7 linked regions of the Neurospora crassa OR74A genome follow. The protein of the gene in region 1 interacts with the protein of each later gene in a biochemical or structural test. Links are inferred from orthologs where the notes say so. Each region holds a gene or a part of one and is shown in the gene's direction. Other genes may lie near its edges.

Region 1 (4,193 bases):
TGCTCCGACAAGACCGAAGGCGGTTGTGGTGAAATTCAAAGAGGCTGGTTTTTGAGGTATAGTAGAGTGAGTACTTACCTAGGTAGAAGAGCTATACGCGGATTGCGCATTACCTCTACCACTTTTTAGAAGTGTCGAACAAAGGGCGCTCCACATTTGCTGTCTCGCTTCGTTCAATGATGACAGCCACTAGTGTAGTGTACAAACCTAGTGTACATATGATGGGTACCTCTATGCTTCCATGAACTCCCCATCGTCAAAAGCACCTCAACAAAAAAAGAAACCTCAATTGAAAATCCAGAGATGCAGTAACGCCCCGCAGTTCCGTCGCACGCGAGGGGTATCAAAATGGAAATGACGGGCGTTTATGTCGGTGATGCGCTATTGTTGGAACAGCAGCGTCTCGGTCGGCGGCAACGGGGGTACACTACATGTACTGGGATACGCTAAGTAGCGACCTAACGCCTTTTTGCACCCCGTGCGGTGTATCGTCGTTATGGGATGTAGAGGTGCTGTGCGTTGAATTGTCAAGGTTGAGGTTTGAAGTGTTCACTTTCCTAATTGACTGCCTCTGGAGGTTTCTTCAAAGTTCGGTAGTGGCTTGATATCTGGTAGATCTGCGCAAGATCATCATCATCCCCGATCGTTGGGCTACCTCTTGTGTAGAGTTTTTGGAACAGACAGCTTCTACTACAATCTTGGCGTTTCCTGGAGAGACCTCGGAGCTTGGGGCGGTCGGTGGAGGTGCTTTCCTACCCCTAGTCATGGAAAGGCATTCAGGCCAGCATAGCTACCTATTCTAATTCTCTGTGTCGATGACTGAGCCGTGATCCATGGGATATTTTCCTGACAGGGCATCAACTCCTAAGAAAAGACACGGGACTATGTGATCCATGTACACCAAGGTTGCTCTTTGTGTGCCAATGATGTTGTTGATGTTGATCTCGAGATCTGGATGCCGTGCCAAGCATGGAGTGAATGTGGCCCCCTGGGAGTCTGGGACTCGAATGACCCGACCAACTGCTTAAGAGAAGAAGTCAAGTACCGCACTGTGCGCACCTTCCGCTTCAGTTCTCGCTCTTTGCAGGCTTCTGCTAACTAGTTCCTGGCCTAAAAGTAGTCACTCGTTAATGCGATACCTGAGCTACTAACTGAAAAGTTAAGCTTCTCGCACAGAGCATGCTAGGCCAGCCATACTTTCCCGTTAATGCTGTTGAACCATTATGTCTTGTCACCTCCCCCTGTCTCTTCACCAATGCTAGATCCAACTTGGACTGTCAATTTCTTGGCTTGGGTCGTTGCACCATTGCACCTTTGCAACATCGCAAGACGTCCAGGTTTCTCGGTCGTTTTCCCTCCCATCCTTTGGCTCATCCGTCGGTTGCAACTTAGTGAAGGTCATTGAGCTCTTCACCTGGACCTTCTTGGGGTTGGTCCGTCGAACCCAAGCTCACCCACCCGCCACTTCCAGCAGCTTCACCGCGACAAAACAACGACAGCATTCAACCTCGACACTACTAACTAAAGGTACCCTTACCAGACGAACCTAGACATCCGAGCGAGTTTACACTACCTGCTGGTTGATCCACAGAAGTGGTTTCCTAAGTATCAGACCTGCCTTGCCGACCTTGCTAGTACAGAGATTACTTAGTATTACCAAGCCACAGCCGTCCAACCTTGGCCTCTTGGATTGCTTGGCCTTTCCTTGCAGTTCGCCTTCCGCCGCCGTGACTACCTGACAGCGTAAGATACCCAAAGCGGGGGGGCCGGCTGGCCACACACGCACGAGTTACCAAGAGCAGCACAGCCTCACCACCTACGGGCGCTCAAGAGTCCCTCTAGCTTCCATCTACCACCTACTGCCACCTACAGAATTTCATCCACCCTGCCGCATCCATTCCGTTGCCAGTGACTGCGCGTTCTCGTCAACGTCAGTGTCCATCGCAAGGAGAGTTGGCCCTTTTGTAACAATCATTCAGCCTGCTTGTACCATCGTCGACTTGTCCTCCTTTCATCCCCGCCCCGCCTGCATTCAGCCGCGAGTCCTCGATCCCAAACGAGCGAGAGCGACCGACTACCCGACCCGATTGCGACCAGCCTCTGCTTGGTCCAAGAAACGAGACGAAAACTTAAAGCCCCGCGTGCGAGTTTGTTGACGCGCTCCATCTGCAACAATGACCAGCAGCCGGGACTCGGGGCTGCCGGCGTAAGTTCTCCCACGACTGGACTCTCCATCTACCCATCTTGTCTGCTTTGCGTCGCCCTCAGGGACCGCGGATTATAAGCGAGAGAACAGCCAGCTAACAACCACCACGATTAAAGCCAGCCCAATCTCCGCGTAACAAGTACTCAGCCCCTTTGCGACGAATGTGTCCGATGACCAACCGGTGTACTAACATGCCCCTCTAGTCATCGCCGCCGATGGTCTATACAAGCGAGATGTCTTCAGTATGTTTCTCCCCGTGGCCAGGTGTCATGCATCTTCTAAGCCACTTCCAGGTGGCATATGCTAACCGCATCATCATCATAGGGTTTCCCGACCCGTTCGCCGTCGCTACCATTAACGGTGAGCAGACAAAGACCACCCAGGTCTCCAAGCGTACCCTAAACCCATACTGGAACGAACACTTTGATTTGTAGGTTCGACCTTAACTCAGATTTGACAGCCCAAGGGCCAGCTGGCTAATACAACGTAGCAAAGTGAATGAGGACAGCATTCTGGCTGTCCAGGTGTTCGACCAAAAGAAGTTCAAAAAGAAGGACCAAGGTTTCCTCGGTGTCATCAATGTCCGGATAGGGGACGTAATAGAATTGGCTCCCGATGCGGAAGGTAAGGTTTCACTGCAATTCACATGTGTTTGCAGGTTGACAGCGCGATTTGGGACTGACATGCACCACACCCACAGATCAGATGCTCACGCGGGACCTTAAGAAATCGACCGACAACCTTGTGGTGCACGGCAAACTGATCATAAACCTATCTACTAACCTCACAGCAACTATGAGTCGCCTCGGTCCCCCTCCATCTTCGAGCAGACCATCACTACTCACCCCTCAAAGTTCGGTTATTTCTAACGACAGAGCGAACGAACGTCCTTCATCAGCCATGTCCGGACCTAATGGAACCGCCAATAACATGACTTTGGCAAGCCGACCCGCCAGCCTGGCTGTTTCGTCGTCGTCGACAGCCCCGACCCCCGGGACAAATGGAACAGCCCCAACGAACCCGTCGACCCTCGTTCCGGCGCAAGCCAGGCACCATAGCACGCTTAGCCCCTTCGAAGATTCAATGGGAAGATTGCCAGCTGGCTGGGAACGTCGCGAGGATCATTTGGGGAGGACATATTATGTTGATCATAATTCACGGACCACGAGCTGGAATCGGCCAACTGGCACAGGGGCGGCCGAAAACCGTACCGCCGAAGCCAATACTCAAGTCGAGCGTCAACGGCATCAGAACAGAACACTTCCCGAGGACCGCACTGGCGCCAATTCCCCCACCCTACAGCAGCAGCAAGCTGCCGCCACCGCCAATGCTGCCACTATGATGCATACCGGGGCGACAACCCCCGGAACCGGTGAATTACCTGCTGGTTGGGAGCAGAGGTTTACCCCAGAAGGAAGGCCGTACTTTGTCGACCACAACACGCGCACTACTACCTGGGTCGACCCTCGACGCCAGCAGTACATTCGCATGTACGGTGGCCAGAACAACACGAACGGGACCATTCAACAACAGCCGGTGTCCCAGCTCGGTCCCCTGCCTAGTGGTTGGGAGATGCGGCTCACCAACACGGCTCGCGTCTACTTCGTGGATCACAATACCAAGACAACGACCTGGGATGATCCTCGTCTGCCTTCGTCGCTCGACCAGAACGTACCGCAGTACAAGAGAGACTTCAGGAGGAAGCTCATCTATTTCCGTTCGCAGCCTGCTATGCGGATCATGTCCGGACAGTGTCACATCAAGGTCAGGAGATCGCACATTTTCGAGGATTCGTTTGCGGAGATTTCGAGGCAATCGGCGACGGACCTGAAGAAACGATTGATGATCAAGTTCGACGGCGAGGACGGCCTCGATTACGGCGGTCTGTCGCGCGAGTTCTTCTTCCTCCTTTCTCACGAAATGTTCAATCCATTCTACTGCTTGTTCGAGTATTCGGCCCACGATAACTACACCCTCCAGATCAACC
Region 2 (4,435 bases), on another chromosome or scaffold:
CAGGGTATCTCCACCAAGAAAAAGGGGGTCGACAATAGTTGCTACTAGCTTGTATTGATGATTACGTTACCGTACGCGAGGGAGTTACGACGAAACAAATGCAATTCAGGGGGCGTATAAATAACATCGACACCCGCTGAACGGCTCCCATGCCCAGCGGACCCCGACCTGAAATGAACGATCCACCAAGCGCCCAAATGTCAAGAGGGAAAACCCGGGATATGACGCTATCTACACGTGCGGTTACAGTAGATCGCTGATGAATGCCCGGGTTTGCCGGTCGGGACCAGCTGGCTGCTGTTTCTTGATTGATTGATGGGAAAGTTGGGCGTGAAGAAGAGCCCAAGTTGACTGTCACAATTAAGCCACAATTACGGCCAATCAATAGATACTGTGTAACAAAGTGAAAGTTGCGCTTTCGAGGTACTTATTCAGGTGCTATGCCGTACCAGCAGCGCTCGAGATGCGGCTGGGCTGTGCTTGCTCCTGCACGATCTCACTCTTTCGGGTTCAATTTGGACAAGAATCCTTCGTTCCTGCGCCAGTACCTTGCTTCGATGTTGTTGGTCGGTCATTGGGGTTGACCTGAACCCTCGAAATGCGCTGCGGTTATTCCAAATAAAAGCTAGGTACATACACCTCCAGCGCTGGGAGGTTACGTACCTGTTCTTGGGGTTTCAAATTGTAAGGTACGAACAAGGTGTTCATTTGTCCTCGGGTCAATAGTGCACTTCCTACCTACGCTTGATTTGATCTCGAATGGATTTTCCGTGGACATTGCAATTACATAAATATACATTTTGGTGATAGCATCCATGAAGATCGCGGTGTCTTCGCGACCGCTTCGTTGCATCGTCTAAATTCCCCCAAATTCAGCGAACCCCCCCACCCCCCCGAACACACACCCCCCGGACCGGCTCCTTTAAACGAGCACTTGGGTCCACGACTTGGACATAGAGTAATTTCCAACGTCTCCCTTGGCTCGACCATTTCGACCGCAACTCCAGACTCTTGATCACGATAAAGGTCAAATTCCTCGCAGGGTCACCGCAGCCGCGCGTGCTCGCTGTCGTCGACATCTTCCCGACGTTCCCTCGCTCGAAATTACAGGCTACCTATCCGTAGGTACCATACAGGAGGGCCTTGGCCGGCCGCAATCCTACGCGCAAGCGGGCATACCTACAGTGCTTGCTTCAGCGGCTACCCCTTGCTTCAGGAGCACCCGTACACTCTAGAAGAGCTTCCATCCTCGTTCACCTTCTGCCCGGCAGCCGCAGCGCCGCACCCCCGTCACCCGTCACCAACCCAGCGTCACCCGCTCTCACACGCTGCTGCCGCCGCCGCCGCCGCCGCTCGCTCCTTGATTCCATTTCCTACCGGACACACACACACCCCCCCTTCCCCGGCAGAACCAAGACTTGTGATACCACACCACCAGCCACCATTCGCACCACGGCGCCTTTCGTTTTCCCCAATTCCTTTCTTCGCAACAGCAACTCCCTTGCGTCGGTTCATGTCGGCTGCCATCCAAAGGGCATCATACGAGCAGATTTCCCGCAGCAGCCATGGGCTTCCTCGGCGTCTATAGGGCCATTTACGATTACACGCCCCAGGGCGAGGGCGAGTTGACAATCTCCGAGGGCGACATTCTCTATGTGTTGGAAAAGAGTCAGGAGGACGATTGGTGGAAGGCGAAGAAGAAGGCCAATGCTGCCGACGATGACGAGCCCGTCGGCTTGATCCCCAACAACTACATTGAGGAGGTATGTAATGTGGTCCGAGGTCTAGATCTGGATTGCGTGCAGTGTCATCTGGGCACTTGTACCTGCTTGGAGGATAGCAAGCTGGCTGGCCTTGGCATTCAGATGGATCACTTGAACTGACCGCGCACACCATGACGCCAGGCGAAACCCGTATCATACGCTCGCGCGCTCTACGAGTACACGCGTCAGACCGACGAAGAGCTCTCCTTCCCCGAGGATGCGCAGCTCTCAGTCTTCGACACTTCCGACCCCGATTGGATCCTTGTTGGCCACGATGGCGACTACGGCTTCGCGCCCGCCAACTACATCGAGTTGGGCGATGGCCAGGCTGGCCAGGTCGAGGAGGAGGAAGAAGCGACTGCCCCCCCTCCTCCTCTTCCGCAGAGGACACCCAGCGTCAGCGTCGATGTAGCCAGCCCGCCCCTGCCCGCCAGGAGTGTGCCCTCCGAGCCAAGCACCCCTGTCGCCGCTTCCAACCCTGCTGCCGCCGCCATCGCCGGAGTTATGGCCAACCGCTCTTCTTTCCAACCTCCAGCGCCTATCAGTGTTCCCCAGCCCCAGCGACAGTCATACGCTTCGGAAGATTACGAAAATGAGGTAAGGTCCCCGCCGCTTCCGAGCCGCCCGCGGGGCGATTCGCAAATTGCTCCGGAGCAAAAATCCTACAGACCGGTGCCGCCGCCCGCTCAGTCAGCAGCCCACGACACCGACGACTATGGCATTAGCCCGCGAACCTCCCAGGCTCCTCCTCCTCAGACCGCCGCGCTTACCCCTGGCGGTTTCCACATGTACAACATCAACGAGATGACGTCGGTGATGGGCAAGAAGAAGAAGATGCCTACCACGCTGGGCATCAACCTGAGGACGGGAATGATTCTCATAGCGCCGGAACATTCCCACGACGGTCCATCGCAGGAATGGCGGGCCGATTGCATGACACACTACTCTCGGGAGGGCAAGCACGTGTTTATGGAGCTCGTACGACCAAGCAAGAGCGTTGACTTTCATGCGGGCGCCAAGGACACCGCTGAAGAGATCGTCGCGATGCTGGGCGACATGGCCGGAACTGTGCGCCTCGAGGGACTCAAGGAGATCATTGCCGCGGGAGCCGGAGGCAAGAAGAAGAAGGGTGCTGTGCTGTATGATTTTATGGCTCAGGGTGAGGACGAGGTTACTGTCGGCGTTGGTGATGAGGTAGTTATTCTCGACGATACCAAGAGTGACGAGTGGTGGATGGTGCGTCGCGTCAAGAACGGCAAGGAGGGTGTGGTTCCCAGCAGCTACATTGAGATCAACGGCGTGTGGGAAGAGCCGGAGACGGCCGTTACCGGTATTGCCGTGGGCATGTCGGAAGTCGAGAAGAACCGCCTGGAAGAGGCGCGCTTAACCAAGGAGGCTATCAAGGCTGCCCAGCGCGAGGAAGAGAAGGAGAAGCAGAAGAGGAACTCTGAGGTAGGCCCAGGATTGCAATTGCAAGAACGAAATAGTAGTTTGCCGGCCACAGATGATAACAGGAGAGGAAAACAGCGAAGCAGTAGGCGCGAACCCGGTCAGAACAGCAGCTCCAAGTCGTCAAGCAAGTCGAGTAAGTACACCCATGTCCAGATTTTCTTTCAGAGTATGCAGAATACTGACAGTTTGTCGCAGAGCCCGATCCTTCCAAAGTGCGAACATGGACCGATCGATCCAAGTCCTTCAGCGTTGAGGCCCAGTTCCTCGGTGTCAAGGATGGCAAGATCAGGCTCCACAAGATGAACGGTGTGCAGATCGCCGTGCCCGTCTCGAAGATGTCAGTTGAGGATCTCGAGTACGTGGAGCGCGTAACTGGCGAATCTCTCGACGAAGACAAGCCCCTATCCGATCTTAGGAACAAGCGATCCGCCGGTGAGTCTTCGAGGTCTAGTCGATCGACGCGCGACAGGGAAAGAGACCGTGGTTCCAGCTCCCGGGTTGGCGCCACCATCGATTCCTCGAAGAAGCCCGACTACGACTGGTTTAACTTCTTCCTTGGTTGTGACATACAGGTTGGTTTGTGCGAACGGTATTCTCAAGCTTTCCTGCGGGAGGCTATCGACGAAAGTGTCTTGCCAGATGTTGATGCTACTGTGCTGAGGAACTTGGGCTTGCGTGAAGGTGATATTATCAAGGTCATGCGGTACCTGGACAACAAGTACATGCGGAACAAGAAAGGCGAAGAGGGCGAGGGAGGACTCTTCTCTGGGCCAGGAGGTGCGCTCCGCAACAACACGAAGAAGGGCAGGCCGGCGCCCCCCGTCGAGGTCAGCAACACCGTTGATCCCAACGCTTTCTCTAAGGACTCGGGTGCTGGTAGTGGCAAGTCATCATCTCCTACGGCTGCGGCTACGCCAACACCGTCTGCCTCGAAGCCTTCCAGTGGCTTTGATGATGATGCTTGGGATGTCAAGCCTACCAAGACGAAAACCCCTGAGCCGGCTGCGCAAGCCGTTGCTCCCGCTCCTGCGGCGGCACCCGCTGCCGCTCCAGCCCCTGCTGCGCCAGCTCTGGTTGACGCGCCGGCCCCCCCTCCGCCGGCGGCTCTTACCAAGTCGATGCAGGAGTTGTCGTTGCTTACCCAGCCTTTGGAACCCGAGAAGGTCGCTCCTCCGCCAGTTGTGCAACCGGCCATCACGTTGCCTCCGCCCTCCGCGGCT
Region 3 (3,634 bases), on another chromosome or scaffold:
TACATCATCCTGAGTCGAGTGCTGTGTATCCTCGAAGCTGTGTATTCCCTCCTCTATCGCGCACTGTTCCAGAAACTGTGGTGTTATCGGTTCATTTCTCGACTGTCGCAAGTCTTGATGCGCCGTCCAACCGCTTACAAAGAAGTCGGCATTATCGAGCAAATCGGTTGGCGCAGAATTATCGAACCCAATTGCCGTACGATCAAAGGCAACATGTTGCGCCGAAGCTGAAGATGGCGGCTCCCAATTCCACTGACTCAGGTCGACTGGGTAAGGGAAGGCCCATGGTGGTGGAGTGGGCGGACATTGTAAGGCGTTGAGATCTCCGAGGTTCCGTTTCCCCAAGCGGCGGCGGGCCTCGAGCGGACCGGGCACGCTCCCCACCGTCCTCCGTGTGGACTGGACAAAGCTGGCGAGATGGGGGAAGTCGGCGGCGGAGGCGACCCAACACGGAGGGCCGGTCGGGAGTGGGCTTCGGGGAATGGAGGGGATTCGCGGCGTTCGACTCAGCTGGAGCAAGCGGTAGCAGTGGGAGGTTTGTGGAGTCATGGGGAGTGGACTCGGAGCGGAGGAGAAGGAGGAGACCTCGACGTGGGAGCTTGACTCGCGTTCACGGGCGGCGGAGGGGTGGGTGGTCGGGGGATCCCAGCCTAGTGAGATCCATCGGAGGGGGGGGATATGTGCTTGTTGATTGAGGTGTCGAGATGATGTAGTGTATGATAGCAATTAAAAAGGTATATCATGACAGACAGAGAGAGTGAATTGGTGTTGAGAAGAACATGGCGAGACCAGCAACGTACGACGGGACACAACGAAGAGAACAGCTTAGGTGGCTTGGTAGCTCGAGACTGGTGAGAGTTCCGTCCCGGTCGTGAGGGGGAATTGTGGATATCAACTTTTTAGTCTGATGGACAATCGATTGCGGGCAGGCGGCCCAGGCAACGGCGTGGCACAGCTGAGCATCTCCAACCTAACTGAAGTAAGGAACTGAAGTAAGGAAGCAAGCTGTAGCGGGAGCTGTGCTGTGTCCCTAGGTAGGTAGGTTCCACTTGTGGCTGATGGTACCTGCATTCGTCTGAACTTCCATTTCCTTGAGGGCAGTTGTGGCTTTGAGGTTGTACTTATCACCATACCTACCTAACCTAACCTACTGCCCCTGTTTGTCCTAAAGTCGTAGGCCACACCAATTGTCCGAGAAACCTACCTCTACCTAGGAAGGTACTCTAGGTAAGCGGGGGATTGACAGACTTCCAGGGACAAGAGGGGTAAATTTAGTGGAAGCCCGATCGTACCAGGGGTGCAATTGGCAGCAGATCGACCCCGCAAACCGCCAAAGGGACCCCACTGAAATTCAGGCCGAGCTTCAACTGGACGACGCTGTGGGTGCGGTGATCCTCTACCACCTCAGTTCGGCTGTTTTGGATATCACAAGTCCTTGGAAACATGGCGGCGGCTTCTCTCTGTCTCTTGTCCTTGTCCACTGCCTTGGTTGCCTGGTATCTTCACAATAAGTCAACAAACAGACACAAGATGGCTTCCCAATTTCCTCCTCTCAAGAATGACTTGTTGCTCAGGGCCGCCCGTGGTAAGTCTGGGGAAAATTTCAGACAGAAAAAAAAAAGAGTCATCTCATCTTGCACATGCAATCTCATTCACTAACACACCCATTTTCTCACACACAGGCGAGACCGTTGAGCGTCCCCCTATCTGGGTGATGCGCCAGGGTGAGATGTCCTCACTTACACATTTTTACTCTCACATCTAACGCAGCACCTCTCATCCTCACAGCCGGCCGCTACCTCCCCGAGTACCATGAAGCCAAAGGCGGGCGTGACTTCTTTGAAGTCTGCCGCAACCCCGAGATCGCCTCGACCCTGACCCTCCAGCCCATTGAGCGCTACGCCGGCCTGATCGACGCCGCCATCATCTTCTCCGACATCCTCGTCATCCCCCAGGCCATGGGCATGACGGTCGAGATGGTCGACAAGAAGGGCCCCCACTTCCCCAACCCTCTGCGCTCGCCCAGCGACGGCCAGTACGCCGAGCTCATGAAGCGCGACGTCGACGTAGCCAAGGAGCTGGACTATGTCTACAAGGCCATCACCCTCACCCGCAAGAAGCTCGACGGCCGTGTCCCCCTGTTCGGATTCACCGGTGCCCCGTGGACGCTGCTGTGCTACATGGTTGAGGGCGGCGGTACCAAGCTGTTCAAGGAGGTCAAGACGTGGATTTACAAGTATCCCGAAGAGACCAAGGCCTTGTTGCAGAAGATCTCGGAGTTGTGCGTGGAGTATTTGGCTCTGCAGGTCAAGGCTGGCGCTCAGGTAATGACCCTCCTCTTATCTGGGTATATCACTTTGGCCATTCAGTACTAACGACATCCAGATCGTCCAAGTCTTTGACTCCTGGGCCGGCGAGCTCTCCCCCTCCTCCTTCAAGACCTTCTCCCAGCCCTACCTGACCTACATCGCCAAGCACCTGCCGCTCCGCCTCAAGGAGATGGGTCTCGAGCCCGTCCCCATGGTTGTCTTCCCCAAGGGCGCGTGGTATGCCCTCGACGCCGCCTGCGACATGGGCTACAACGTCGTCGGCCTGGACTGGCTGCACGACCCCGCCGAGGCCGTCAAGGTTGTTGGCGACAGGCCCATGGTCCTCCAGGGTAACGCTGACCCTGGTGTCCTTTACGGATCCCATGAGGCCATCACCAAGGTCGTCGAGGAGATGGTGCAGGGCTTTGATTGGCATGGCAGACACAAGGGCTGGATTGTCAACTTGGGCCATGGCATTACGCCGTTTGTCAACCCGGATGACCTCAAGTTCTTCTTTGAGGAGATTCACCGGTTGACTAAGACCAAGGCTTAGTTAGGTGCCTGGTTGTATGTACGAATAAAATCGGTGATGATGATGTATGAAATTTAGACAGACATATATCCCCTCAGTCAAATCTTCAAAGTAACCTGCTCAACGCCTACAAGGCATCGCCAACTGTAGCCAGGTCCACCACGGCCCTATTTTCATGTCAGCAGCAACTCTCATAACATCAAATTCCAAAGGGAAGAAACGGGAATACTCACCAAGACAACAACCACCCAACCCGCCCTCCAATACTCTTACAAACCCCCTGACTCCTATAATTCTCCAGAAAAACATCCGCAGCTCCCCACCCATCATCGCCATAATCCTTGACATGATCCCTCATGACTTTACAAGCCACCGCCTTTGCCAGTCCCTTTCCGCGGTATTGCTCCTGTTTTGTTCTTGTCAGCTTTCTCTCTCTTTCACCTCCCTCTCCCGTTCTACAGTGACAATACAAGGGAAAAAGGGAAAAGGAAAAGAAAAGACAAACCTCAACATGCAACGTCATCAACGTCCCATCAAACGCCATGAACCCCCACGCCACCATCCTCCCCCCTTCTCCATCCCGTACCGCCACACTAGGAAGTCCCAAAAGCGTATCCTCCTGCCTTTTGATACTCGTCCGGCTCTGCACCAACCTTACATCCTCCTTTGTCCTCACCCGATCCCACACCAGCCCCTTTTCTTTTTCCAGCGTCGTTCCCAACTGCCCCTCCTCCTCCTTCTCCGACGACGACGACGACGACGACGACACCAACGCTTCCGTCCGAAACAACCA
Region 4 (4,092 bases), on another chromosome or scaffold:
ACGTCGACTTGGAAGAGATCGCCAGGGTTCAGGAGGTAACCGGGGTGTTTCATCTGCAAAAGGATCGGGTAATGTTAGCGCCGAAACAAGCAGCTTTGGCATGGGTGCACTGTATTGTGGGATTCGGTATTGGAACGTTGTGATGGTGTACATGCCTTCTTGCCGTTGACGGTGACGGCACCGTGCACAACCATCTGGCGGGCCTGTCTCGCACTGCTGGCAAAGAGGGCTCTGAATATGGCGATATCGAGGCGTCTCTCGAGAGGCGCAAAGGTCATTTGCTCGTACGGCGTGGGAACCTTCCTGCCCGGGTTGGCGATGACTTGCTTGGCAGGTTTCTCGTCGGCGGTCTTCTCGTAGGCTGGGGGCTCTGAGAGGCCGGAACCGCGGCCGGCGGCTTGTTCGCTGCCGTTATATTTGGCCATGTATGCCGGGTCCATGTTGACGACGGCCGGTAGGCGACGGCTAAACATGCGCGCCCATTTGCGTTCCTTGATGTGCTCGCCGTGGTATGCTCGTGTCAAGGACTTGGCGAGCCATTTCTGCTGGAAGAATGTCTTGCCGCTGATTCTGGGTTCTCTCCCGGCCGTAGCCAGGTTGTACAGGTTATATTTGTTCCATGTCGGCCTGATGGGCTATTCGGAAGAAGAAGAAGCGCACACAAAATACGTCAGCATGATCGCGTGTGGTGGGTGTTGAGTGTCGTGGCAATGGGACTGGCAGGTAGTAGGTAATGGGGCGAATGGGGTGATGATGCGGCGGCGGCGACGATGACCAACGGCAAACCCGGCGACGGCGGCATAAAACACCGAATAGCACATACCTTTTTCTTCAAACTGTGGTACTTGAACAACCTCCGGATCTTCATGTTGGGTGTGGTGTGTTTGGAGGAGCTTCGGGGGATCGGATCGGACTGTAGGCCCCGTGCTTTTGGCGAAGTGGACGGACCGGTTCGGCGCAGGTTGTTTGGAGATTGTCGAGTCCGGAGCGGTCCGGGGCACCTAGCAGCACTGCCAACGAGGGGAGCTTCCCGGGGCCCTTCCACCTCTTATCGGGCGCCGTCCTCCGAAAATTATTTCAGACCCGAATTGGAGCACGCGCTCGCCCATTGGTCGCATTCACGTGAGAAGCTCGGGCCACTGTGCGCGTCAACTCCAGGCCGGATGGTGGAGAACTGGCAGGCACAGGATGCGGGAGCTAGAGCGCATGCGGTATAGCTCCGCAACCTCTTGGCGGATTGCGGGTGCAAGTGGAGTGGGGCTAGAAGCAGAGCCAGGCGGTAGAAATCGGCACAAAAAGTCTAAACCCAAAGGCGGTTCCCTTGGACCTGGGTGGGGCTGATTTGGTTGCTTGCTTGGTTTCGCCGCTTCCATTTTTTTGCGCTGAGGGGGAGGTTTTGACAAGTGCAGTCCTCGATATGACTCCAATGCCGACAGACCCTGGAAAAAGTCAGGGCAGATGGGTTACGCTGCTGTATGATGATGGAGGGAGGGAGCTCAGTAATGGATGGACAAGACTGAATCAAACTCTCGATCTTTGACAAGGGAATTGAAGTGTGTGTTACAGTTCAGAATTATCGAGGTCCTACCTGACTTACACTACGTGACTACCTCTACACTTCACACACGTCCTGGGATTTGCTGGTGAATGGCCGACTTTCCTGTCGCGTCGATCAACAATCAACCCTGCACCAACCCAACACCATTCCCCCACTGCACCCTGCAATAACATTTTGCGCCTACCGCCCCAAAACTGGAGTGCACCTGAAGGACCCACTAAATAATTTCGTCGTTTTGCCTGCTTGGTCCCCGGTCTCCAGTGCACTTTCTGCATTTTCATCATCCGTTCACCATTATCTCTCTCCCGGCCATCTACATCCATTCTTCTCTTCCGTGCACGCGCGTCACGTTAGACGGTCAATTGCCTTTACAGCCGCTTGTACTTTACCCTTTCAAATACCTACAGGCCACTCCGACCTTCATCATGAGCGATACCACCGCCAACACTGAGGCTGCGCCTGCCGTCGAGAATGTTCAGACCGAGGTCCAAACCGAGACTGTAGAGGCCCCCGTCGCGGAGGCTGCCCCCGCCGCCGAGGAGGCTCCCAAGACTGAGGATGCCAGCAAGGAGGAGGAGAAGAAGCCTGAGGCTACCAAGTCTATCGACCGCGCCGACTACAAGAACAACAGGAAATACGATCCTTCGACCCAGCCCGTCACTGACGATCCCGTCAAGATCCGCAACCAGGTACGATCAGACTACAAAAACAGTTGGCATGCTGCGTGTCCCCGTGTCTAACAAATAGTCTTAGGTCGAGTTCTACTTCAGCGACAGCAACCTCCCTACCGATAAGTTCATGTGGGAGACGACCGGAGGCGTGGAGAACAAGCCCGTTTCGCTCAAGACCATCTGCAGCTTCAAGCGCATGCAGATGTTCCAGCCCTACTCGGCCGTCGTCGCCGCGTTGAAGGAGAGCGCCTTCTTGGATGTGTCTGGCGAGGAGGGCCAGGAGACGGTCAAGCGCAAGAAGGCCTACACTTCGTCCTCTGATGCGCAAAAGGCCCGTCTGGCTGCCAGCGTTTACGTCAAGGGTTTCGGCGAAGAGACCGGATCCACTCAGTTCGACATCGAGGCTTTCTTCACCAAGTTTGGTCAGGTCAACCTGGTCAAGCTGAGGCGTAACGAGGAGAACAAATTCAAGGGCTCGGTCTTCGTTGAGTTTAAGACGGAAGACGAAGCCAACGCCTTTGTTGCCCTGAACCCCGCCCCCAAGTGGCAGGATCAAGAGCTCGTCATCAAGAAGAAGAAGGATTACCTGGACGAGAAGACCCAGCTCATTAAGGAGGGCAAGATGGAGCCCGGCACCAGCAAGAAAAAGATCTTCTTCGAGGGCAGCATCAAGGGTGCCGAACGTGGCCGCGGACGTGGCGGCCGCAGCGGTGGTGACAAGGGTGACTGGAAGTCGCGTCGTGATAACGACCAGAGAAACGGCTTCAAGGGTGGCCGTGGTCGTGGAAGGGGTGGCCGCGGTGGCCGTGGCGGCCGTGGTGGTCGCGACAACCGTGACCGCAACAACGAGTAAGTTACAGCCATCCGACAACTGGGTTTCGAACATTTACTAACGTGTGGTATAGTAACAACAACAAGCGTGCCCGTGAAGATGACGGAGACAAGAGTGCTGAGCCAGCGGCGAAGAAGGTCGACACTAAGGCTGAGGCTGTCGAGCAGCAATAGAAGGCCGGCATTGGTATGCTCCAAGTTCTGGGCCGGACGGACTGATGACTTGTTCCTGATGAATAATTCTCGAGGCTGTAAAACATTCGGACGGCGTTATATGGGTGGTGTTTGTTTTAAACTTAAAAGGGCAGGGATTTCGTACTACAACATCCGATATTGACCTTGATAGCGTGCTGTGGTTATTGCATGCGAATATATACGCAGTATAAAGGCGATGGTTCTAGAAGTAAGCATTGTATCACTTTTGCTAGACAAGTTGAGTGAATGGACTACTAGATGTTTTATCATGTCAGACCTTCATGCTGTTGTTCCCTCAAAGATTGGAAGTTGTGGTCTCTGATAGCTAAAAAAACGCCGACTGGATTATGTGTAGATACCAAGGTGACGCGGCCATAGTCAATGCTTTGGGTAGACAAGGAGACCGTCTCAGGCGCTTTGGGGAAACAGCCATTCGTTTACTGAACAGTCATTTTCTTTCATGCTGGGCCTTCCACGCTGAGCACGCCTATGATATCGTTCCAGACCGCAAGTCGCCATTTACCAACTTGGGTCTTAGGGTACTATGTATCGATGTCTGGGCGTTGTGTTGGCTGCAAGTACGGGATGAGCACACGATGTAGTGTAAGATGGAGTTCTAGTATACCTAGTGCAGTTTGGGGGCTGGACGCAACGAATGAGATGCGATGCAGTATCTACGAAACAGACACAGTGCTCGAGATCCTCTTCTGATGCTTTAAGGAACCTCCGTTCGACCAATGATATTGCCGAGAAAACCTCGCCATGGGCAATGATCATGATTACTAACACTATTATAGCGTGTGTAGAAACAATTCAGAGCCTTTACAACTTGCAACT
Region 5 (3,807 bases), on another chromosome or scaffold:
AGGCGGTTTATAGTCTGGAGGAACTGTTGTATGGTTGGGAGAAGAGGGAGAAGAGGAAGATGAGGTTGGGGGAGGTATGACTTGCTTTGAATACTTGCCTGAGCTGTTTCTCGGGATCAAACCAGTATGAGACCGATACTGTGACAGAAGATATCCATATTGAGCATTAGAAGAAGAGCACAAATCGGGTGCGGTTGAGGAAACTACTTAGCAATCGTTGGTGGAGGCGACCTTCTGGTGTTGAAGATGGAGGTACAGTGCAGATATGAAGCTGATGAACACTGTGACATGTGCACGCACCACTTTGCCCAGAGCGGCCGTTCCCATAACCCCACCATCATAGCTTCGTCCTGTTGCTGTTCCCCGACATCATCACATCACTCCCTCCTTCACCACTGCACCTCCAACTGACCACACCTAGGAATAACCGGTCAAGAGTAAGTTAATTACACTGCTTTAGACCAAATCCTCAATTCGTCGAGATGCTAATCTGACCTGAACCGCAGTGCAAATGTGAGTTTTCACGACGTTCCGCAGCACGAAGCAATCAAGCGGAGTTGAGTCAGGTCACTAACAAACGGGACGTTGTACCCCTGGTGTATAGCTTCGTCAAGACCCTCACGGGCAAGACCATCACGCTCGAGGTTGAGTCCTCCGACACGATTGACAATGTCAAGCAGAAGATTCAGGACAAGGAGGGTATCCCGCCCGACCAGCAGCGCCTGATTTTTGCTGGCAAGCAGCTCGAGGATGGCCGCACCCTCTCCGACTACAACATCCAGAAGGTCAGTGGACTGGTGGCCCCACAGCGCGCTTATGACGTAGATGTTATAGGGGTTGGGAATGGGAGGACAACTGCTGTGGTCAACTTCCATTTTTGCGATGGCCATGGGAACAGAAATGGGATTCAATTGATTGGTGTCATGGTCGACTTGCTAACATGGATTTCTGCTATAGGAGTCAACCCTCCACTTGGTCCTCCGTCTGCGCGGTGGTATCATCGAGCCCTCGCTCAAGGCGCTTGCCTCCAAGTTCAACTGCGACAAGATGATTTGCCGCAAGTGCTACGTACGTATACTCTATATCATCTTTTCGCCTTCTCAAATGTTGAACCAAGGTCTAACTTGTTTCTAGGCTCGTCTGCCTCCCCGTGCCACCAACTGCCGTAAGCGCAAGTGCGGACACACCAACCAGCTCCGCCCCAAGAAGAAGCTCAAATAGACAGCTCAGTGTTACGTACCAGCATCAGGGTTTGGCGCATTTGGGCTTTTTGGGGGCAAACGGGTATGGTTATGGCAACGGCATAAGGACAACAGGACAGGGAAACACGGGACCTGGGAATGGATGGCTACGGCTGAAAACGTCAAGTCGAGGACTTCTACGTAGCTCATGAATAAACTCGGACATTGCCCGTGGGGATACACAAAAGGGCATTGAAGCTCTCCTACCAAAAGCAGTGATCTTGTAGAATAATTTGAGCTTGATTATGAATGTCGCTCGAAACAGCTCAACTACCTTGATGGCCACTTTGGACCCACGTGACATATTGCGGGGAGTTACTGCAGGGACCGGGAATCCGTTAAGGGGGGGTGCACTGCTGCGGTTTCAGGACCCCAACAGGGGGCGTGCACGCAAGTGTACAGCGGTACGTACCTCTACCTACCTACCTCTACCCTTTGGTGTACGCGGCTCACGTTGAAACAGCTGTCCACCACCAGCTTCCGGAGGGACCAGACCACCTAAGTAGCTTTGGAGGAGCTTACCTATCGAGAGACCGACTTACACTAAGCATAAACTAATCATACCATTTGACTCCAAGGCGATTCACAGCTATCGGCGTGTTCCCAAGCTCCAACCAAATCACCATCGAAAGACTTGTCATCACAGCTCACATCCGACCAACAGACAGCAAACAACCGCCACCATGTCCAGATCAGGCTACGATGCAGTCGTAGACGTCGACGACGAGGTTAGTTCGCCCTCTCCTCCCCTCCCATCCGCTCCCATGGTAGTCATTGATCTTTACATACCCAACTAACCACCCTTTTTTCTCCTTCTCTCTCCAGGGCGACCTAGGCCACACCGACCTCCAAGAAGATCTCGAATTCCACCAATCCAACTTTTCCGAATCCTCCCCCCTCGGGCGCAACGGCACCAAATCCACCCAACACACCAACACCACTTCCACTTCCTCCCTCGGCGGCGGGTTACTTCCCGCTCCCGTAACCGCCGCCCGCACCTCCTCCAACTCGGGAGGAGGAAGCAGCAAGCGCTTCCTCTGGACGCTCTCCTTTTACGCGCAGTTCTTTGACGTGGACACGTCCAGCGTGCTGCAGCGGTGTTGGGCGGCCCTGTACCCGCGAGCCAACTTTTTGGATGTGTTGGAGGGAAATCCGGACCTGTACGGGCCGTTTTGGATCGCGACGACGGTGGTGCTGATTTTGTTCTTGGGCGGGACGATTAGTGATTATTTGGCGCAGACGGGGAAGGAGGCGTTTGCGTATGATTTTCGGTTGTTGAGCGGTAAGTTTTTTGTTTTTTCTTTTTCCCTTTGGGTGAATGGGTGATTGATTTTAGTAAAATTGGGGGCTGATATGTGATCAAAAAAAACAACAACAGGCGCCGCTGGTCTCATCTACGGCTACACCTTTGTCCTGCCGGTCGCTTTGTACCTTGCCCTGCGATACTTTGGTTCGGAATCCGCCAACCTGCTCGAGTGCTGGGCTTTGTACGGTTACTCCAACCTCATCTGGATCCCTGTGGCGCTGATCAGCTGGTCGCCGATTACCATCCTCAACTGGGTGTTTGTGGGCGTGGGGTTCGGCGTGTCGGTGGCCTTTTTGCTCAGGAACCTGTATCCGGTGCTCAGCGCGACGGATCGCCAGACGAGCAAGGTGCTGCTGTTTGTCGTGGTGGCGCTGCACTTTGGTTTGGCCCTGGCCATCAAGGTGCTCTTCTTTGCGCATGGAAGCCCGGCGTTGAAGGATGGTCCGAAGGGAGCTGCCCCGGGTGGTGGGGATGCGAAGCCTGCTGATCCGGCTACGATGATGATGATGTTCTAGGGGCAGGAGGTTAGGATATGAAGGAGATAGGCTTAATAGGAAGAGAGGTACGTTTGGAGCTGTGTGGCCTTGTATCTGATATTTGATGTTTTACTATCTTCATCCGTCAACAAAAGGTTATGGGGGAGGCGTTTGCCGCGATTGGTTTCTGGGATTGATAAGTTCAAGTTCAATCGGATTTTCAATTCAACCTATGACTTCTGCTGAATTGAATTGCGCTGGCAGTTTATTTCACCCATTTGCTGCCCTTTCTTTGGTACGCTGTCCTCCTCTTTCTATCCCGGGTATAACAGGTACACTACAATACGTTCCATCCATCCAGTTCCCAGGTGGTAGAGGTAGACATAAGAAACGCCTCCTCTTAACTACTCCCCTTCTTTTTTCCGTTTTCCTGACCATGCCCTTATGCGTACCCATCATCCTTTTTTATCCCATCCCTCGTGCCGCCCCACCACCCCTCGTGCCGGGGAGGGAGGGACCCCTTTCATTGTCCATACTCGCTATCGATACTTTGAACGATCTGACCTGCCCATAGGGTAATCAAGCCAAACCGCTTGCCACTTCCCCATGCCGCTGCTCGTCTCGAAATCATCTCAAGTCTTCCTAATACTACCACCCACAACAACCCCCCACATTGAAAAAAAGAATCAGTGCCCCATCCTTATTGATGAACCAAGTAGGAACAGCCCTTGTTGTCTGGTGCTGTTCATGGGACTACTACTCACGGACTTGCTGTTGCTCTTGC
Region 6 (4,118 bases), on another chromosome or scaffold:
CTAAGGTCGTTCGGCTTGATTTTGAAGAGGAGTCGGGGAAGGAGAAGGTGTTGTGATACCCATTGCTTTCATCCAATTGCTTTTCAGCGTTGCATTTCCGGCGTCGGGTTTGTGGTTCGAGGGATAGACGGGATATAATCTCCAAGCTCAATGTGTGGAACGTCATGTGCGACTTTTCGGGTTAGATTCAACGTTCCATGGTAGCATTTCACTTTCGGACACTTGGTATGTAGTACCGCAAAATAGACAGACATTCATGACAGACAAGAAGAACTTTGTTCTTGATTCAAAAGGGACAAGACCAAACTTAATATGAATAAAAAGGAGAGGGAGTGGACCCAAAACAAAAAGCCGAGTCATGAGACGTCCCTGATCCCAGATTCATTGGGCAAAAGTCGCAAAAAAGAAAAGTTCAATTGCGCCAGCCGCGAATCGAACGCGGGGCCCATCGATGGCAACGATGGATTTTACCACTAAACCACTGGCGCTTATTGATATCACCTGTATTTGAAACTTGCAACTATGAGCATCAGCGGTCACCTCAAAACGCCAACCGGACTTGGAGTTGAAGGCATTGTTGGGGCCAAAGAATTGAACGCAGATCAAAAGGAAACGGTAATTAGATACTGTGGTGTAACAAACGAACTTAACATGCGTATACTCGTTGGATGGAGAATACATTATGGTACCAGCTAATTTGGTGCTCCGACGCTTGGGCAGGTAGGACGAGCGTACATGTGTTCCCCGGTTGAAGGGTACACATGTAGGTTCGTCCGAATGTTGAGGAAAAAAAAAAAAAAAAAAAAAAAAAGAAAAAAAAAACCGGTTGCCCGAGTGAATTGAAAGGAAATGTCTCCCTCACCTCACGGCCTTTCTTTTACATCATCATCGCCGTCCGTATAGTTGCTAACGGGTCAAAAAAGATCAGCCATCTCGAAGCCGAGTGTCCCTACCACCATCATCCGTCCAGATGACGACTGCCCCAACCCCACACGGCCGGGAAGACGATCCTTGCCCAAGAACGGCCCACCACTTCTCGGCTCCGGTTCCTGGGAACCAGTGGGGATGGCGTGCCCGCTTTTGACGACAGATAAACACAGCCCGCGCCATGCCCAATCTAGGAGGTGTCAATTGTCGTACGTCTCGGCAATTCCGGTCTGACTCCGGGCCGCTGACAATCAACAGCCACCCACCATTACCTAATAATCGCTGTTTATAAGCTGCCCAGTCATCCCCAACAACGCTGATGTCTGTTTGACCACCTCCAGTTTCAACCGTCTTTCGAACACGAAAGGCAACATCATCATCATCAACCTTGAATATGGAGAAGGGAATCTCTCTCCCGGTGGCCTACACGCCCCCGCCGGCCCAGGCATCCACCACCCGATGCAAGTCCCTCAAGACCGTCGCCAAAGCCCTCGCCCTCGGTCTTCCGCTCTACGCCCTCTACGCCTGGCACACCAACCAAGCAATCATTCCATCTCTCTCCCGCGCAAATGTCAACTTTGCCTCCCAATGCGAGCAACCTCCTCCGCTCAAGCCCAGCCAAGATGAGAAGCTCGACGAGGCCTACGACTTTCTCTCCACCGAGACATTCCTCAACGCCTCGGTGGCCCGCCTGTCGGGCGCCGTGCGCGTCAAATCCGAGTCCTTCGACGACCTCGGCGCCGTCGGCGAGGACCCCCGCTGGGACGTCTTCTACGACTTTGCCTCGTACCTCAAAAAGACCTTTCCCTTGATCCACTCCAAGCTGCAAGTCGACAAGGTCAACACCCACGGCCTGCTCTACACCTGGGAAGGGTCCAACAAGGACCTCAAGCCGACCTTGCTCATGGCCCACCAGGACACCGTCCCCGTCCCGCCCGAGACGATCCCCGCCTGGACCTACCCGCCTTGGTCCGGCGAGTACGACGGCAAGTACATCTGGGGTCGCGGCGCCGGGGATTGCAAGAACCAGTTGATCGCCATCATGGAGACGGTTGAGCTCCTGCTGGAAGCCGGGTGGGAGCCCAAACGCACCATTTTGCTGTCTTTCGGTTTCGACGAGGAATGCTCCGGTCGACAGGGCGCTGCTCATCTCTCCAAGTTCATCGAAGAGCGGTACGGGAAGGATTCGCTGGCTGTGATTGTCGACGAAGGCGCCGGCTTCGAAAAGACGTGGGGAACACTGTTTGCCAAACCGGGAACGGCCGAAAAGGGATACACGGACGTTTACATCACGGTGCGCATGCCGGGCGGCCACTCGTCTATCCCCTCGGACCACACCAGCATTGGTGTTTTGAGCGAGCTCATCACGCGCATCGAAGCAGAGCAGTACCGCACCCATTTAGAAGAGGAAAACCCGTACTTCACCCAATTACAATGCGGCGCAGCGCATTCGCCTCACTTCTCACACAAACTCAAGAAACTGCTTGCCCACCGGAAGCGCCACTCCTCCTCTTTTTCCTCTTCTTCTGCTGTTGAAACCTGCAAAACAAAAGACTATCTAGCCCTCGAAGCCGCGCGCGAAGGCGGCCCAGCCATCAAATACCTAATGCAAACCTCTCAAGCAGTCGACGTCATTTCGGGCGGCATCAAAACCAACGCTCTTCCCGAACGTGTCCGCGCCACCATCAACCACCGGATCAACATAGGCGAAACCCCCCAGGTCGTTTACGACCGTCTTACCAAGCTCGCCGCGCACGTCGCCAAGCGCCACGGCCTTGCCCTCCACGCTTTTGATTCTAATGATGATGAAGACGAGCAGCCCGAGCCACCCAACTCCCTGATCCTCACCAAATCCTCCCACGAACTCCTCGTCGCACCCATCACCCCCTCCTTCCCCTCCAGTAGAGGACCCTTCGCGGTGTTAGCAGGAACCACCCGCGCCCTCTACGGTGAAGAGGTGATTGTCACCCCTGGGATCATGACGGGCAATACAGACACACGATATTACTGGGACGTGACGAGACATATATTCCGGTGGGGACCGGGGTATGACCCCGCCGATGACGATGCTGGGTTTGGAAACATTCACACGGTAAATGAGCGGGTGAGTGTGAGGGCGCATGTGAATGGCGTGAAGTGGTTTTGGATGTTTTTGAGGAATATGGATGAGGTTGAGGTTGAGTGAGGTGGATGGGTGGATGTTGATGGGTAGAAGATGGGGGGGGGGGGGGGTGGAGCGGTGGGTCGAATGGATGGGGTGGAAAGATGGATGGGGTCTGGTGGAGGTTGAGTGGGACTCGAAGGAATAGGATGTACCTTATAAAGATGGGAAAAGAAAACACAACGTGAAGAGGGCGATGGGTATGGGAGAAATGAAAACGAGAGGAAGTGGAAGAGAGGGGGAGGAAGGGACCGTTGTTTGAACGATGGTGGTGGAATGGAGGATGCACGTGTTGATGATGCCGTACATGAATTGATGATGAATTGATGAATGATGAGTAGAGGTACCTGCAGTTTATTCCTCTAGGAAAAGAAATATCAAATGAACTGGTTTTGTAACAGTGAAATCTCCAGCAACACCTCCATCCTTGATCCTTGGAGGAGGACCGGTGATCCGATCAGACACTTGCGACCTCCCAATGTCATTCTGATGAATTTTCCGTAGATGCATGCTCCTGACATTTGCTGCATTGTCTGGCCTACGATTGTGCTGCATCATGTGCGTGTTCCCTCGACAACGAACGCATGCAAGATGCAGGAGGTGTTGACTTCTTGTTGGATTGATACACCACTTCGAGTTTTGGGTCATGTACTGAATTCCCAACTCCCTTGTGTGATGACTGTCTCCACACCCCATGGCATATTTGTACACATTATCATTCTCATCTTTCGTTTCTAGAGAATCTACCTGTGAATTCCATTGGATCTCAATATTGACCAAAGTATGGGTTGCCCGCTACGCCGAACTCCGTGAAAACAGCAAAGGGAACACATGTGTACTCGTCCACCTAGCCATGCACAATGCGAATACCCTTCCGCAGGCAAGCAAATTCGACAAATGAATCTCCTGGACGGTGCCCGATCTTCAAGCAATACATCGCAAGCCGACTAGTGACTACACTGAAGGTGACACCAACCACGTCCTTGGCGACCTGTTTTAGTTCATCCATTCAGCCACAAACGCCATCCCG
Region 7 (4,231 bases), on another chromosome or scaffold:
TTCGGCGGCATCGACACAAAGAAGTATAAAGGCGACCTGACGCGAATCCGAATCTACCCTAGTAGTAACGGCTACTACTTCTCCTTCATCGTCGCCTTGACATCGTTACAAGCAATTAGTCCTAGCGGTAACGACACGCTTACCTCTCAGGAGTTCCCCATTCCGGTAGTGCTCGACTCGGGTACGACCCTGTCTTATCTGCCGCAAGACATCGTGGATCAGATCTGGCAGGAAGTCGGTGCAGAATACTCTGATAGGCTTGAGTTGGCTGTCATTCCCTGCTCGAAGAAGTCTAGTAACGGCTACTTTTCCTTTGGGTTTGCCGGCCCTGACGGCCCTCGCATCACTGTGCGGATGGACGAGCTGGTCCTCGATCTCACTAGTGGAGACCCTCCGAAGTACACGAGCGGACCAAACAAAGGCCAGGATGTATGCGAGTTTGGCATTCAGAATTCTACCTCTGCGCCATACCTCCTTGGCGACACCTTCCTGCGGTCGGCATATGTGGTCTACGATCTGGTCAACAATGAAATCGGCTTGGCGGAGACGGACTTCAACTCGACCGAAAGCAACATTGTGGCGTTTGCCAGCATGAGCGCGACGATCCCGTCAGCAACACAGGCGCCAAATCAAGCGGCGGTCACCAATAGACCCGTTGCAACTATGCCATCATTTGCGGCGAGTTCAGGATTCTCGGATACTGGTGGCTCGGGCAACGATGGTAAGGACGAGAATGCATCGGCAGGCATGCCAAGTGCATTTGGTGTCGCTCAGATGTCTGTGATGGGTATTGCGATGGTGTTTGCCATGGTTGGTTCTGGCGTATTCGTCTTGCTATAGGCTCTGCCATTGCATTCGGTTGGATTTGGATATGGCATTCCTTTTTTTTTCTTTGTTTTGGGAGTAGAAACGCACAGAACAGGATGATGACGATACCCCGAGGGGCGTAGCGTTAGTTGAAAAGAGTATTCGGTTTTGTTTTTGGATGGATCCTAACAATACTCATTTATTACCTAGGACTTGGGTAGTTTGTTTATCCTATGGTCGGTACCTACTTTACGTGGACTAGGCATCATGGGTTGAAACAGTGAGGGATGGCAATTGGGTATGGTATTGAGTTACTGTTCTGTTTGGAGTGGTTTGTTTATAGTGCTAGTAATGTATGATCAGTGTTCAACCTTCAACGAGTCTCGGATACTAACTGTCCAAAGAAGATCAAGGTAGTGAGGTTGTCGATGTGGGTTCGTCGTGGCACGCTTCAGTTGATGATAAGTGTATGGACCTTGATGGTTCTTGGGGAGCTGTGTGTGGATGGAGTACCCAGCAGTCGATGGACGCACGCCCCCGATATTTAGCGCCATGGTACCCGCGCGATGGCCCCAGCAAAGATAAAAGTACCCACTTAAAAATTTCGTGGGCAATGCCCGGGCTTTGGTAGAGTTCGTCCCGACTCCCCCCGCCGTCAGTTGCTGCCGCATCCGCATCCGCATCCCGCATCCCGCATCCTGCCCCGTGCTTCTCCTTTGGAAACTTTAGGTAGTTTTCCAAATCCACGGCACCACTCCTTCCTCCCCACCAGTCACTCCTTTCTCTTTCCTCCCCCTTCGCTGCGTGTGAGCGAAGATGAGGGTGATTCGGGCTGTTGCTACTCTCCACGCCGGCCGCGCTGCCGCCGTGCGCCAGGGTGTTCGCTCCGTCAGTCTTGGAGCATGCCGCGCCGCCGTCGAGACGCCGTCCCTCCGGTCGGCCGGCTCCCAGTTTGAGAGCCGCCGTCTGTTCAGCAGGTCCTCCTACCTGAGGAATGCTAACATGACTGCGGCCGAGATTGCGTAAGATATCTCCCGTGAAACGAAGGCTGTCATGGCTGGCGTCATAGCACCGGGCAGCATGCCACAGCAGCAGACCCGGCTGACAATACGCGCTGTATTTCTCTAGTCTCAAGCAGGCCAAGGAACTCGCCGCTTCCAACATGACCCCCGAGGCTGCTGCCGCCCGTATGACCCCCGAGGAGGCCAAGAGACTGGCCCGTGTCCGTAACATTGGTATCGCCGTATGTGAACCCCAAACGCGCCCGAGATGAAAGATAAGAGACCGAGGACAGAGGACGGGGATAGAAGCTAAACAGCTAGCTATATACAGGCCCACATTGACTCCGGCAAGACCACCGTGACCGAGCGCATCCTTTTCTACACTGGCAGAGTCAAGGCCATCCACGAGGTTCGTGGTCGCGATGGTGTCGGCGCCAAGATGGACTCCATGGAACTCGAAAGAGAGAGAGGTATCACCATCCAGTCTGCCGCCACTTTCGCCGACTGGAAGAAGAAGGAGAAGGGCGTGGAGGAGACCTACCACATCAACTTGATCGATACCCCCGGCCATATCGACTTCACCATCGAGGTCGAGCGTGCCATGAGAGTCCTTGACGGAGCTGTCATGGTTCTCTGCGCTGTCTCTGGTGTCCAGTCCCAGACCATCACCGTCGACAGACAGATGAAGCGCTACAACGTCCCCCGTATCTCTTTCGTCAACAAGATGGATCGTATGGGTGCCAACCCCTGGAAGGCCGTCGAGCAGATCAACACCAAGCTCAAGATTCCCGCCGCTGCTATCCAGGTCCCTATTGGCTCTGAGAAGGAGCTCGAGGGTGTTGTCGACTTGATCGACATGAAGTGTATCCGTAACGACGGTCAGCGTGGTGTCAACCTCAAGATCTCCAAGGAGATTCCTGCCGAAATCAAGGAGCTTTGCGAGCAGAAGAGACAGGAACTTATCGAGAAGCTCGCCGATGTCGATGATGAGATTGCCGAGATGTTCCTTGAGGAGCAGACCCCTACCCCCGAGCAGATCAAGGCCGCCATTCGCCGCGCTACCATCGCCTGCAAGTTCACCCCCGTCCTCATGGGTTCCGCCATTGCCGACAAGGGTGTCCAGCCCATGCTTGACGCCGTTTGCGACTACCTCCCCAACCCCAACGATACCGACAACACTGCCCTCGACCGCTCCAAGGGCGAGCAGCCGGTCAAGCTCGTCCCTTACAACTCCCTTCCCTTCGTCGGTCTTGCCTTCAAGCTCGAAGAGAACCCTTACGGCCAGCTCACCTACATGCGTGTCTACCAGGGCTCCCTCAAGAAGGGCGCCTACCTCTACAACTCCCGTGGCAACAAGAAGGTCCGTATCCCCCGTATCGTTCGTATGCACTCCAATGAGATGGAGGACGTCAACGAGATCGGTGCCGGTGAAATTTGCGCCGTCTTCGGTGTCGACTGCGCCTCTGGCGATACCTTCACCGACGGTGGTCTCCCTTACTCCCTAAGCTCCATGTACGTCCCCGACGCCGTCATGTCGCTCAGCATCAAGCCCAAGCGCTCCAGCGACGCCGACGCCTTCTCCAAGGCCATGAACCGCTTCATGCGTGAGGATCCCACTTTCCGTCTCCATGTCGACGAGGAGTCGGAGGAGACCATCATCAGCGGCATGGGTGAGTTGCATCTCGAGATTTACGTTGAGCGTCTCCGCCGTGAGTACAAGGTCGAGTGCGAAACTGGCCAGCCCCGCGTCTCTTACCGTGAGACCATCACCCAGAAGGCCGAGTTCGACTACCTTCTCAAGCGCCAGTCCGGTGGCCCCGGTGATTACGCCCGCGTCGTCGGCTGGATCGAGCCCAACCCCAACGGCGGTGAGGACAACCACTTCGAGTCGCGCGTCGTCGGCGGCACCATTCCCGACAAGTACATCTCTGCCTGTCAAAAGGGTTTTCAGGAGGCCTGCATCAAGGGCCCCCTGCTCGGCCACAAGGTCATCGGCTCCTCCATGGTCATCACCGACGGTGCCACCCACGTTACGGATTCGTCCGATTACGCCTTCAACCTCGCCGCCCAGATGGCCTTCGGCAAGGCCTTCACCGCCGCCGGCGGCCAGGTGCTCGAGCCTCTGATGAAGACCACCATCTCGGCCCCCGCCGAGTTCCAGGGTAACATTCTCATGCTGATGAACAAGCGCGGCACCATTGTCGATACCGAGGTCGGCGCCGACGAGTTCACCATGGTCGCTGACTGCTCCCTGAACGCCATGTTCGGCTTCTCCACCCACTTGCGCGCTGCCACCCAGGGCAAGGGCGAGTTCTCCATGGAGTTCAGCCATTACGCTCCTGCGCCGCCCCACCTCCAGAAGGAGTTGGTGCAAAAGTACCAGAAGGAGCTCGAGGCCAAGCGCACAAAGTAAGCTGGCTGTT

The links.
Region 2: the proteins of NCU03947 (region 1) and NCU02978 form a complex in vitro, tested with the Saccharomyces cerevisiae proteins (2 studies listed by BioGRID, with this or other methods). The link is inferred for Neurospora crassa OR74A from reciprocal best matches to the Saccharomyces cerevisiae genes RSP5 and SLA1.
Region 3: the proteins of NCU03947 (region 1) and NCU02771 form a complex in vitro, tested with the Saccharomyces cerevisiae proteins (2 studies listed by BioGRID, with this or other methods). The link is inferred for Neurospora crassa OR74A from reciprocal best matches to the Saccharomyces cerevisiae genes RSP5 and HEM12.
Region 4: the proteins of NCU03947 (region 1) and NCU08295 form a complex in vitro, tested with the Saccharomyces cerevisiae proteins (2 studies listed by BioGRID, with this or other methods). The link is inferred for Neurospora crassa OR74A from reciprocal best matches to the Saccharomyces cerevisiae genes RSP5 and LHP1.
Region 5: of the proteins of NCU03947 (region 1) and NCU05276, one has a biochemical effect on the other in vitro, tested with the Saccharomyces cerevisiae proteins (2 studies listed by BioGRID, with this or other methods). The link is inferred for Neurospora crassa OR74A from reciprocal best matches to the Saccharomyces cerevisiae genes RSP5 and YIP5.
Region 6: of the proteins of NCU03947 (region 1) and NCU11129, one has a biochemical effect on the other in vitro, tested with the Saccharomyces cerevisiae proteins (2 studies listed by BioGRID, with this or other methods). The link is inferred for Neurospora crassa OR74A from reciprocal best matches to the Saccharomyces cerevisiae genes RSP5 and CPS1.
Region 7: the proteins of NCU03947 (region 1) and NCU02955 form a complex in vitro, tested with the Saccharomyces cerevisiae proteins (2 studies listed by BioGRID, with this or other methods). The link is inferred for Neurospora crassa OR74A from reciprocal best matches to the Saccharomyces cerevisiae genes RSP5 and MEF1.

The regions. Positions count from the first base shown.
Region 1 is NC_026506.1:2,205,735-2,209,927, forward strand, and holds the start of NCU03947 (ubiquitin ligase), read left to right. Parts: upstream 1-1,339; 5' UTR 1,340-2,174; coding exon 2,175-2,206; intron 2,207-2,322; coding exon 2,323-2,345; intron 2,346-2,409; coding exon 2,410-2,448; intron 2,449-2,530; coding exon 2,531-2,636; intron 2,637-2,696; coding exon 2,697-2,830; intron 2,831-2,906; coding exon 2,907-4,193. UniProt on the Saccharomyces cerevisiae protein: E3 ubiquitin-protein ligase which accepts ubiquitin from an E2 ubiquitin-conjugating enzyme in the form of a thioester and then directly transfers the ubiquitin to targeted substrates.
Region 2 is NC_026501.1:8,519,816-8,524,250, forward strand, and holds the start of NCU02978 (cytoskeleton assembly control protein SLA1p), read left to right. Parts: upstream 1-1,565; coding exon 1,566-1,763; intron 1,764-1,904; coding exon 1,905-3,348; intron 3,349-3,410; coding exon 3,411-4,435. UniProt on the Saccharomyces cerevisiae protein: Component of the PAN1 actin cytoskeleton-regulatory complex required for the internalization of endosomes during actin-coupled endocytosis. The complex links the site of endocytosis to the cell membrane-associated actin cytoskeleton.
Region 3 is NC_026501.1:9,249,447-9,253,080, reverse strand, and holds NCU02771 (uroporphyrinogen decarboxylase), read left to right. Parts: upstream 1-1,289; 5' UTR 1,290-1,443; coding exon 1,444-1,585; intron 1,586-1,682; coding exon 1,683-1,724; intron 1,725-1,788; coding exon 1,789-2,324; intron 2,325-2,385; coding exon 2,386-2,862; 3' UTR 2,863-2,968; coding exon of another isoform or gene 2,969-3,008; 3' UTR 3,009-3,074; downstream 3,075-3,634. Other genes in the region: NCU02770 (hypothetical protein), read right to left, coding at 1-549; NCU02772 (hypothetical protein), read right to left, coding at 2,969-3,008, 3,075-3,247, 3,347-3,634.
Region 4 is NC_026504.1:2,503,605-2,507,696, forward strand, and holds NCU08295 (RNA-binding La domain-containing protein), read left to right. Parts: upstream 1-1,662; 5' UTR 1,663-1,983; coding exon 1,984-2,247; intron 2,248-2,311; coding exon 2,312-3,078; intron 3,079-3,134; coding exon 3,135-3,234; 3' UTR 3,235-3,590; downstream 3,591-4,092. Other genes in the region: NCU08296 (mito ribosomal protein S4), read right to left, coding at 1-53, 156-635, 824-868.
Region 5 is NC_026504.1:5,495,598-5,499,404, reverse strand, and holds NCU05276 (Yip1 domain family), read left to right. Parts: upstream 1-1,660; 5' UTR 1,661-1,924; coding exon 1,925-1,969; intron 1,970-2,066; coding exon 2,067-2,523; intron 2,524-2,619; coding exon 2,620-3,062; 3' UTR 3,063-3,292; downstream 3,293-3,807. Other genes in the region: NCU16890 (hypothetical protein), read left to right, coding at 1-80; NCU05275 (ubiquitin-60S ribosomal protein L40 fusion protein), read left to right, coding at 437-437, 507-513, 605-785, 958-1,068, 1,135-1,221; NCU05277 (hypothetical protein), read right to left, coding at 3,547-3,654, 3,788-3,807. UniProt on the Saccharomyces cerevisiae protein: Possible role in vesicle-mediated transport. May be involved in proper membrane localization of Rab GTPases.
Region 6 is NC_026504.1:632,620-636,737, forward strand, and holds NCU11129 (carboxypeptidase s), read left to right. Parts: upstream 1-1,152; 5' UTR 1,153-1,321; coding exon 1,322-3,112; 3' UTR 3,113-3,475; downstream 3,476-4,118. UniProt on the Saccharomyces cerevisiae protein: Necessary for use of certain peptides as sole nitrogen source. May also cleave intracellularly generated peptides to recycle amino acids for protein synthesis.
Region 7 is NC_026501.1:8,595,716-8,599,946, forward strand, and holds the start of NCU02955 (elongation factor G 1), read left to right. Parts: upstream 1-1,296; 5' UTR 1,297-1,623; coding exon 1,624-1,829; intron 1,830-1,935; coding exon 1,936-2,050; intron 2,051-2,139; coding exon 2,140-4,221; 3' UTR 4,222-4,231. Other genes in the region: NCU02956 (aspartic proteinase), read left to right, coding at 1-840. UniProt on the Saccharomyces cerevisiae protein: Mitochondrial GTPase that catalyzes the GTP-dependent ribosomal translocation step during translation elongation.